Arabidopsis thaliana: one gene and its partner. The main gene of each other region encodes a partner of the protein of the gene in region 2 in a complex. Each region holds a gene or a part of one and is shown on either strand. Other genes may lie near its edges.

Region 1 (5,548 bases), on a different chromosome or scaffold from region 2:
CTTTTTTCCTTCCCTTTAAAATTAGATTTATTAGTACTAGTGTATTTTCTCTTTAATGTTGTTGTAAGACATAAATCAGACCAACAATGTTGACCGACATAAAAATAAAAAAAAGTTCAGAGCAACAATTAGAAACAATTTCAAAGTACCCCCAAGAATAAAATTGCAACAACTAGCATTGTTTGATGGTTACCATTATGTTATCAACTAGTGAGAGATAAAAAAACATACTGAGAAGTAATTTCTTACAACTAGTGTAGAACGACACTTTAGTAGCAGCTTTGTAACACCGGTTTTTTTTTTTTGACACTCAAATCAATAAATAGATAACGAGATTTTATCAGAGACTAAGAAACAAATTAAGAAAAGAAGCAGACCAAATCTCATGTTGGATATATAGCCTGTGTAAGTAAGTTTCTCAAAAGTGGTTTGGATAGCCTTCTAATTCAGTCCCTTATTTGTTGACCGTGGAACTGACAAAAATGAGATTCAAGCTAAGGGAAGAATATGGTCAAGGATACGACTTTGCCTCGAGAAAAGTAACCAATGATACGTCTTTTCAAACACCATACATGTTCAATAAAACTGTTCACCTTTGGAAATTATTAACAATTCAAATACACTCACTTTCTTCTTTTGGAATCAGAGTAATTTCAAGCTCTCTTCCAATTTTTAAGACAACTCATATGGCCTGCAATGTCGCCTTCCTATATTAATCTGAACCTGTGGATTATATACAACAATGCAAGAAAGGAGTTCCTTCGATTTAGGTGACTAACTATCAAGTAGATATTTTTCTAACTTTTCCTTTTGAACATTTTAGAAACTTGATTCTACAGACAACATTATATAGCTAGCATCGGATGCAACATAGATTACAATTAATTTACACTAGACGACTGTTCCATGCTTCTTCTATGCAGACTTCCCTCCAAACACCCTTATAAAACTGGATCTGAAAGATTCTCTAACTCCTCTCCAGTACGTATAGTTTGACCCATATAACCACAGATTCACTGCTTTTTTCCAACCATCTCTCGGGAACTCAATTTCTCTACCAATCCTGGACTCCTCCCAATCTTCTTCAGTGTCCTCCAAAAGCGGGAGCGCTTCAAAACCACCAGACTCCAGGTGCTTGATCCACCCGCGCATCAGATAGTTCACCACCTGCTCGTTTTCATATCCCAAATGGTGGGTTCATTATACCTAATTGCAGAGTTTGAAGAATTTATTGACTAGTTCATTATACCTCAGGGACTTCATCGTGTGGGCAGTGACCCGCTGGGCTGATCTCGTAGTATGGAGCGTTGGGGATTTCCTTCTTTATCTTCTTTCCCCATAACGGTCTCACCCATGGATCTTCTCTTCCATACATGAGACATATCTGAACATTGTTTTCCTTACACCTAGCATAAACCATCAAATAGCAGCATTCCTCATAAGCAATAACACCAATCACGCAGAGTAAAAAACATATAAAAACAAGAAACCACACTGTCTTATACCTAGATAAAGCTTCGGAGAAAGATAGCTCTCCACCAGGAGCAAGCATGATTGAAGCAAACGATGCTGCAGCAGCCGGATGCTGTGTGACCTCCACAATACGTGAGAATACTTTATCCACATTGATAGAATGGTCTGTGTAGACCTGTTTAAGTATCTCAGCTATGCTTTCAGGATCACTTATCTTTTGCCACCTGCAGTTTCATTGGGAAGTAAAGATATTAGACTGATAGAGATAGAAATAGAAAATGATACTTTTCAGGTGAGGAGATGTGTTAATAAAGTCTCCCTTACACCAATTCTGTGATTTTTTTCACTCTTTCCGGCAGAGGGAATGCTCCGGGCCATGGAAAGAGACGTGCTAGCTTTGGGGATCTTACTGGATTAGGGAAGAAACCCCAGAAAGGTGTTGCATTAAGCAAGGTAACACCCTTAACCAGGTGAGGATGGGTTGCTGCAAAGTAGAGAGCTACATACCCTCCAAGTGAGTTCCCTGCAATGTACACAGGCTCACCGATAACCTGTACAACACAAATACCACATACTCTTACCGACTCAGCAGCTTATTTCAGATGAAAAAGATCGTGATCTCAAACTAGAACACAAACGGAATCAAAGAACAGAGATGAATTCTAATATCTAGTGCATCCTAAACTTTCCCATTCCCAAAGCAACACCAGAAGACTCCATACCCACACTTTCAGGTTCTGAGCTGAAAACTATTGAAATCCATGAGTATACGACACATAGCAACAATCTACACTAAAAAAAAAAAGCTAACACACTGCTTTTGAAATTACGACTAAAAGAACAAAATCAACAGCTTAAAGAGTAATAGAACAACTGAACTCAGATATTGCTAACCTCTTCTACAAAATACTGAACTTGATCCCTCCAGAGATCCAGAGAGAATACAAGTTGATCAGCCCACGGTTCAGTTTTGTCACCAAATCCCCAAAATGGTTCCTTATCTTCCGAGGAACTGGTTTCTTCAGTCATGGTAGTAGGATCTTCAGTAGGGAGAGATAAACCCTGTCCAAGAAAATCAATAGCCCATACTCGATAATCCCTTCCCAAATCGGTAAGCTGCTTCTCATAGTGAAATGAACCAACGCCAAAGCCAGGAAGAAACAACACCGCAGGAGCATCGAGATTGTCACAACCGGCTTTCTCATAATGTACTCTAAGCTTGGGCTTCCACTCGCAGTGAGAATGACTGATTCGAGCAGCAATTTCACCATTTGATTCATCAGGCAAACCAGGAATCAAAACCTTTGACGTTGATTCTCCTCTTCTGGCTATACGACCCAAGTCATCATTCTCACCAACAACATAACCATCGGAATTTCCACTTCGAATCACAAGTCTGGATTTTTTGACCCCTGAGAATAACAAACTTGACCGATTTGGGACCAATCTTTTCGTTGCTAATTTACTACTCCAAGTAACCACAGAGCACTGGGGCACAACGTTCAGTGAGATTATCTCCATAACAAGTTCCTGCAAATGAACAACCAAAAGGCATATCCTTTAATACGAATTTTCCACTCATATATCTCAACTTCATAGCAAAGCTAAGAATAACAAGGAAAATCACATATGAAGCTGGAATCTTTGTATAGTTATCAGAATTTTGCTTCAAAAGCTGAAACCACATACAAAAAGTTGATGAACTTGCGGTAATCTTCTATGAACTCGTCTTATCAAATCCTAATCAAAACAAAGCAAATCAAGGTCAAGCCAATCTTCTATCAAATTGAAACCAAACAACAACAACACCACCCGATTCATCGACAAAGAACTCCAGCTATATAATAAACCCAGGAAGAAAAGAAAGAAAAGAGAGAGTTGCAACTTGTACCTTTTCAAATTCCAGAAGCGAGAAGCTTCATCAAATGGTCTCTCTGAGAGCGTTATTGAGAAATTAAGCGAGGAAAAATCTAAAGGTGAAGAAGAAATAGAAGAATTGGGTTGCTTGCTGGCTTGGTTAACTTCAATCGTTCGGTGCAAACCGACAGCAACGTTTTTATCGAGTTTTTATTTTTTCTTAAAGGATCCAAAATTCATACTGTATTATTAAGTGTAGGGTTATTTTTTTCACAATATGACATTTTGTTTTGGATCTGACATTGCTAATTTGACACCGATGTAACATTGCAAAAACACATGTTTGTTGCAAAAATATGACAGAATAATATTTTTTTTAAAAACAATTGATTTTTGATCTTCTTTTCCATTGTGTAACAATCGGAAAACAAAAAAAACAATCGAAAAACCTGCAGTTTTCATATCAAACAATATAAAACCCGTTTAATTTTTGAATGGTTTAATCACTATTTTAACGGTGTTATTTGAGTTTTCTAGTTGATTTTAAATGTTAGAGAATTGATCTTGTGTGAACTAAAAATCCTAATGGTCGAAGACTAGAAAGCGAAATACACTACTCTTCAATTAGAATACAGACAACTATCTCTAAACCGAGCGTAGAATCAATAGCAATAAACCGACCGTAGAAACTGGTTTCGCTGTAACCATAACCTTTCTTAATAAGACAACCGCGTTTTACCAGTAAACGACTTTTCCTCGCAATTTAATCCCACTTTTGTTATTTTTTCAAATTCGTTTTTCCTCGAAGGAGCATCGAGTAAATATATCATTAAAGAGCCTTTAATAACTTAGACATAATAATTATATCTTTAAAAAAAAAACAGAAAAATTCTTTGCTTTGCAACAAAGGCAGACAGACAAAAGGCTAATTCGGAGCTCTCCTCCACATCTTCTTCCAAAACACAAACAAACCCCCAAATTTCCAGAAAAATCAGATCATTCTTTCATCAATCTCGTCTTCTTTAATCTTAGGTGAGAATTCATCAGCTCAAAAACGCAGCACCCGATCGTTTTACGACTCAAATCAGAGAAGCTGATTCTTTTCCAATCATTCCAATTTCCATTTCTTCCTTGGGAGGTGATCGACGATTATTCAATTTATGTTTTTCAATTTCTCTTTCTGTATTCGTCAATTTGCTTGAATTTGATCCTAGGGTTTTGATTTTGTTGACTATTTTAGGTTTTACACCAAATTAGCCGTCGAAAGGGGTGCTTCTTTGATCTAATTTCGATGGCGGGATTAGAGAAAAACGCTGATTTCTCAGGGAAGACGACGAAATCGGCTACAACGACGTCGTTCTTCAACAGGTCGCTTACAATTCACGGAAGAACAGTGGTGGATTCGGGCCCCAAATCCCACAATCTCAATCCTTCTCTCAATCGTACCACCTCCATTACCAAATTCTACACCCCCGTAGAATCGATGGGAACTTCTCTTAAAGGCAAAGTCAAAAACCTTTGTAGATTATTCGAGACTTCCAAACCCGTTAAACCTGCCTTAGCTGAGATTCCTCAGAAGCAGAAATCCGGTAAATCCCTTTTACCCGAATCGCGGATATCGCCTTTTTCGAGCTTAAACAACTCGGTCATCCGTCTTCCCGGGACAGAGGACAGGATTGTGGTGTATTTTACTAGCTTGAGAGGGATTAGACGGACGTATGAGGATTGCTATGCTGTCAGAATGATATTTAGAGGGTTTCGGGTTTGGATCGATGAGCGCGACGTCTCCATGGATATCGCTTATAGGAAAGAGTTGCAGATTGCAATGGGAGAGAAGTCTGTGTCTTTGCCTCAAGTTTTCATTATGGGCAAGTATGTTGGTGGTGCTGATGTGATCAAGAGTTTGTTTGAGATTGGTGAGCTTGCTAAGATTCTTAAAGAGTTTCCAATGAGACAACCAGGGTTTGTTTGCCATTGCTGTGGGGACATTCGATTTGTTCCGTGTTCCAATTGTAGTGGCAGCAAGAAACTGTTTGATGAGGATGAAGATAGGGTCAAGAGATGTCCTGAATGCAATGAGAATGGATTGATACGTTGTCCTGATTGCTCTTCTTGAGATATATCATCAATGAACCTGAAAAAACCATTAAAAAAAAGAAGAAAAAAGAGGTATTTATTTCTCTTTTGATGTTTCCATTGTTGTGTAGAACAGTGAATG
Region 2 (4,347 bases):
TTTTTCTTCATATATCAAAATATAGTTTCTTTTGTATTTATTTACTTACGAACACAACATTTTATAAAATAAGCCCATGATAATAATGCAATAATTCGTTACCATTCTCTTATATTACTTGTTCTTCTTCTCTTTCTGTATTTGGTGTATTTGGTCGTAAATTAGATAGACGAATGGGGTCAGAGAAAAAAAGTCATCTTGATTTGGTTATAAAATGAAAAAGATATTGAAGAAAGAGACCAAATAAATCCAAGAAAATAATTTGGAATCATTAGGAGCAAGAAGTGGCTGATACGCTTTGCAAAACCACCAGAGAGACAAAGTCTTTTGCCATCTCTTTACCTTCACGTTTCTCCTTAGTTTCTCACCGTTACACCGACGAATTCGGTCCTTAATATACGTCTATTGTTACTTTGGTGATGATTCTCATGAATATCTTCATATTTCTAAACTATTCTTATTTGGGATATTAGTATAACTTTAAATTGGTGATGATTCTCATGAATGTTTTGATATATTAAAATATATATGTTCATTAAACAACAATTTATTCATCTTTATGTTTGCATTGCAGTAGTACTATACCAGTCTGTCACCTTTAATATTAGCTAATCTGTAAGAAATTTACATTTTGATCTTGTGGATGAGATACAATACAAGTATACAACTATGATAAAGACTTCAGAGTAGACACAAAATACCATTTGAAACTTTAAAATCTGTATTTAACCTACAAATAATCATTATTTTCCTATACCACATTATGTACACCAAACCAAACCAATATTTAGATCCACCAAAAGGAAAGTCCTGCCATTTCCTTTTCACTTTGTACAAACTACCAAAAGAAAAACTTGTAATTTGATATTTAGTCACTAGAGTTTCTCCGGATTTGGAGTAGCAATTCCCTCAGTCTGAGTCCCAGAGTAACCATTTACACCTTCATTACTAAGACTATGAGACCATGGAATCGAGCTAACGGTTGGAAAACAACAACTACACTCGTCCGCACACCGAGCCTCGGGAAGAGTCTCAGTCTTGTGACCATCAGGCGAAACAGCTTCCCAAAGCGGACCCCAACACTCGACTTTGTTGAACTCATTGACATTAGAATGGAAATAGACCCAAACAAGAGCTTCTTGTAGCTCAGGATAGTTGTTCAACAAGTTCCCATCTCCATGCACAAAAGCCTTCAACACCTGTATATATCAAAACAATAAACATTTTGTTTTACATGAAACCAATAAAAAGTTTCTTATGAATTTGGGAACTTACCACAGGTAGTTCTTTGCAAAAGATGAAATATCGAAACTTTGCAAAGAGATCTAAAAGGAAATGGCCACCGCTTATGTGACAATGAACGTGAAGCGACATTTTCCCTTTCACTTTCTTCCATTCTGCCACAACTTCATCCCGGTATAGCCTATTTGCCCATCCTTGCAACTATAAAAAACATTTCTATACATATCAGCCTCTAAAGTGTTAAGAGATTCTGGTGAATATAGACACATACATAGGTTAAAACAATCATACATAAGCCTCTAATATTTGCTCCAAATAATCAAATACATAAACATTCTACTCCTATAAACAGAGCCATGTAGATATGTTAAGACCAGAGAGAGAGGTGTTTTTACCTGAGAGTTGTTTATGGATTGAGAAATAGCTAAGGTTAGTTTAGCTGTAATGTCACTGTGAGTGAGTGTGTAAGTCCTAGGGAGCGTTGAAGGATGCTTCTTCTCATCAACCCCTAAGAAGAGTACTTTCAATTTGGATGATTCGAAAATCGCCGGTCCAAACAACCTTGCAACCTGCACCGATCCCAAAAGTTTCAAGTTCCATCAATAAAGACAGAGGCATAGATATATCCATAACTGAGACACATAAAACAAAGATATGTCAAAATGATTAAGAGAACAAATCCTTACGGGAACAATCGATTGGTTCTTCTTCTTGGATCTTCTATTGTTGAAGAAGAGTGAGCTGCTGCTGCTACTGTTACTCCGTTTGTCTGAATAAGCTGGTTTCAGCTTCGTTGGTAACAACATAATCGCCGACAAACTACACATCTCTGCTCTCTTGAAACCCAAATCAAAAGCTTCAATATTTCAGAAATAACAACAGAACAAAACGCCACTAAATACAGAGAGACTCCTTTCACGAAGCTTGGATACAATTTTTTCACGCGAGTTCTTGCGTGTTCGTACACTGAAACCACAATCAAAAAGATTGTAACTTTAAGAAATAAATATATAAAAGACCCAAAATTTGAGCTTTTCCTTTGCTTGATGATTGCTTGAAGCTTTGGTTTTGAATTTTCCTTTTGAGATCTTCCAGGAATTTAGGGTTCTTTGTGATGCGTATTGAGTTGGTTCTTGTGTTTAAAAGGGATTGTTGCTTCACGTTTCACACTTCCGTGCCCAAATCTGAACACTCTTTTGGAATTTTTCTGAACACGAGAGAGTGCCACGTGTTCTCTAATCTTTGCATGAGCTTCCCCATGTGTCGTCATGGTGGGGCTAACAACTGGCTCTAACCGTCTTTTTGGATAACTTTAGCCATCTCGTTGCGACAAAGAGACACAGATTCGGCTCTAACCGAACCTAACTCACGTACTGTAGTTGTCAGTCGAACCTAAAGCAATACGGTTTAGTTTCGGTTCAATTTAATGTCATTCGACTCGATTACTCGGTTTAGTTATTAGACCTGTGAAACTCGAGAGGCTTCTTCGCTTGAATCGTCGTGAACAAGGACAACAAACGCAGGTATTGATGGAACCGGAGGAGTCAGAGAGTCCCATGTTGATCCATAAGGATGTTAAAAAGGGCTGAAATTTGTGATCAGGTCCAGGTCCATTAAAAATATCGGGCTAAAATTGGGCTGGCCTGTTACAGAGCTTTTATTTTTTTCTTCTTCTTTTACGTTAAGCGACGTCGTATCTTGTAAACAACAAAACACGAGTACTGTTTTTTCTTCTTCTTTCTCCTTCAATCTCTTCCTCAAATCACTCTTTTTGGGGTTCGTTTTGTTTGTGTTGTAAGCATCCCTGTTGTGCATTTCGTTTATCCAGGTTCGTATTGCTTACCTAAACAAGTTCAAGTTTTCGATTTTGGTTTCTAGGTGTTTACCAGTTTCGCCATTTTGTGGTTTATTGTTTGGATAATTTGATTTCTTTGGATTTTGCTGATACCCATTTGTGTGTATAGAAATTTGATTAATCTGGATACTAAATTTCGTTTGGAGAAACATTGAACCAAAGGAATGCGAAATCTTTTGATGATGATTGAATAGTTTTAGTGCCTGCTAATACTTTAGAACAGAGTCAATTTTTTAAGGTCATGTTATAGAATCTGAGTCTACTTGTCATTTGCTTTGGAACAGGTGAATTCTTGCAAAGCCTTGAGCAGCTTTCAGATGATAAAGACTTTGGTCTCTCCTTATAGTGTATGTACTCTACCTCCACCACTCTTTGAGTCTTATTCTTGTTTAGTTCAATCCACGTGATCCAGTTTTAATTTTATTTAATTCCTCCTATGCGTCTGTTAAAGTCAACTATTTTATTCTTTATGTAGGGATTTGGATCTCAGAAGTTGAAGTTTGACAGATCTTCTGAGAAAGTGAAGACGAGAGCAGTAAGAATGGAGCTCACAATCACTCAACCTGATGATTGGCATCTTCATCTCCGTGACGGTGATCTTCTTCATGCTGTTGTTCCCCACAGGTCTTATAAACATCCTGCAATCTTTCTTTTCTTTCCTTGCTTTACTTTGTTTTGCAGCCACTTTTTTGTTTGCTATTGGTGTTTCTTGTGGAACCATTGTTTGTTATGTATGAATTCCTCAATCACAATCTTGTGCTGGCGTTGATGCTTGTGCTGTACATGATGGTTAATGGTGTATGTAATTATGTGCAGTGCGAGTAATTTTAAGAGAGCGATTGTGATGCCGAATCTGAAGCCTCCTGTCACCTCCACTGCAGCTGCCATTATTTACCGGAAATTTATCATGAAAGCTTTGCCATCTGAGAGTAGCTTTGATCCACTTATGACACTTTATTTGACTGACAAAACTCTACCTGAAGAGATCAGGCTTGCAAGTAAGTACCTGTGCTTTCTCCATCTTGTTGCAAACTAATCAGATACATTTTCATCTTTCTGATTGAGATTCTACTTGCTAATGTTCAGTTTATGCATATATGATCTTGTTATTAGGGGAAAGTGGTGTGGTTTATGCGGTGAAGCTGTACCCTGCCGGAGCAACAACCAACTCTCAAGATGGTGTCACGGATCTCTTTGGAAAATGCTTACCGGTACTAGAAGAGATGGTCAAACAAAACATGCCTTTGCTG

The links. Proteins that work in one complex are often made in the same cells at the same time.
Region 1: NYE1 (region 2) and PPH share a complex: the UniProt entries of both Arabidopsis thaliana proteins name them as parts of the SGR1-CCE-LHCII complex.

What each region holds. Positions count from the first base shown.
Region 1 is NC_003076.8:4,451,148-4,456,695, forward strand, and holds PPH (pheophytinase), read right to left. Parts: upstream 3,562-5,548; 5' UTR 3,365-3,561; intron 3,214-3,364; 5' UTR 3,161-3,213; coding exon 3,101-3,160; intron 3,004-3,100; coding exon 2,368-3,003; intron 2,025-2,367; coding exon 1,798-2,024; intron 1,698-1,797; coding exon 1,506-1,697; intron 1,407-1,505; coding exon 1,250-1,406; coding exon of another isoform or gene 1,244-1,249; exon of another isoform or gene 1,168-1,243; coding exon 916-1,167; 3' UTR 588-915; downstream 1-587. Other genes in the region: AT5G13810 (Glutaredoxin family protein), read left to right, coding at 4,622-5,446. UniProt on the Arabidopsis thaliana protein: Alpha/beta hydrolase dephytylating specifically the Mg-free chlorophyll pigment (pheophytin), yielding pheophorbide. No activity on chlorophyll. Belongs to the chlorophyll catabolic enzymes (CCEs).
Region 2 is NC_003075.7:12,015,901-12,020,247, forward strand, and holds NYE1 (non-yellowing 1), read right to left. Parts: upstream 2,744-4,347; 5' UTR 2,707-2,743; intron 2,635-2,706; 5' UTR 2,070-2,634; coding exon 1,929-2,069; intron 1,812-1,928; coding exon 1,638-1,811; intron 1,444-1,637; coding exon 1,276-1,443; intron 1,200-1,275; coding exon 876-1,199; 3' UTR 563-875; downstream 1-562. Other genes in the region: PYR4 (pyrimidin 4), read left to right, coding at 3,415-3,444, 3,573-3,721, 3,914-4,095, 4,211-4,347. UniProt on the Arabidopsis thaliana protein: Magnesium chelatase involved in chlorophyll a degradation in the chlorophyll-protein complexes of photosystem I (PSI) and photosystem II (PSII). Contributes to the degradation of PSI and PSII in the thylakoid membranes.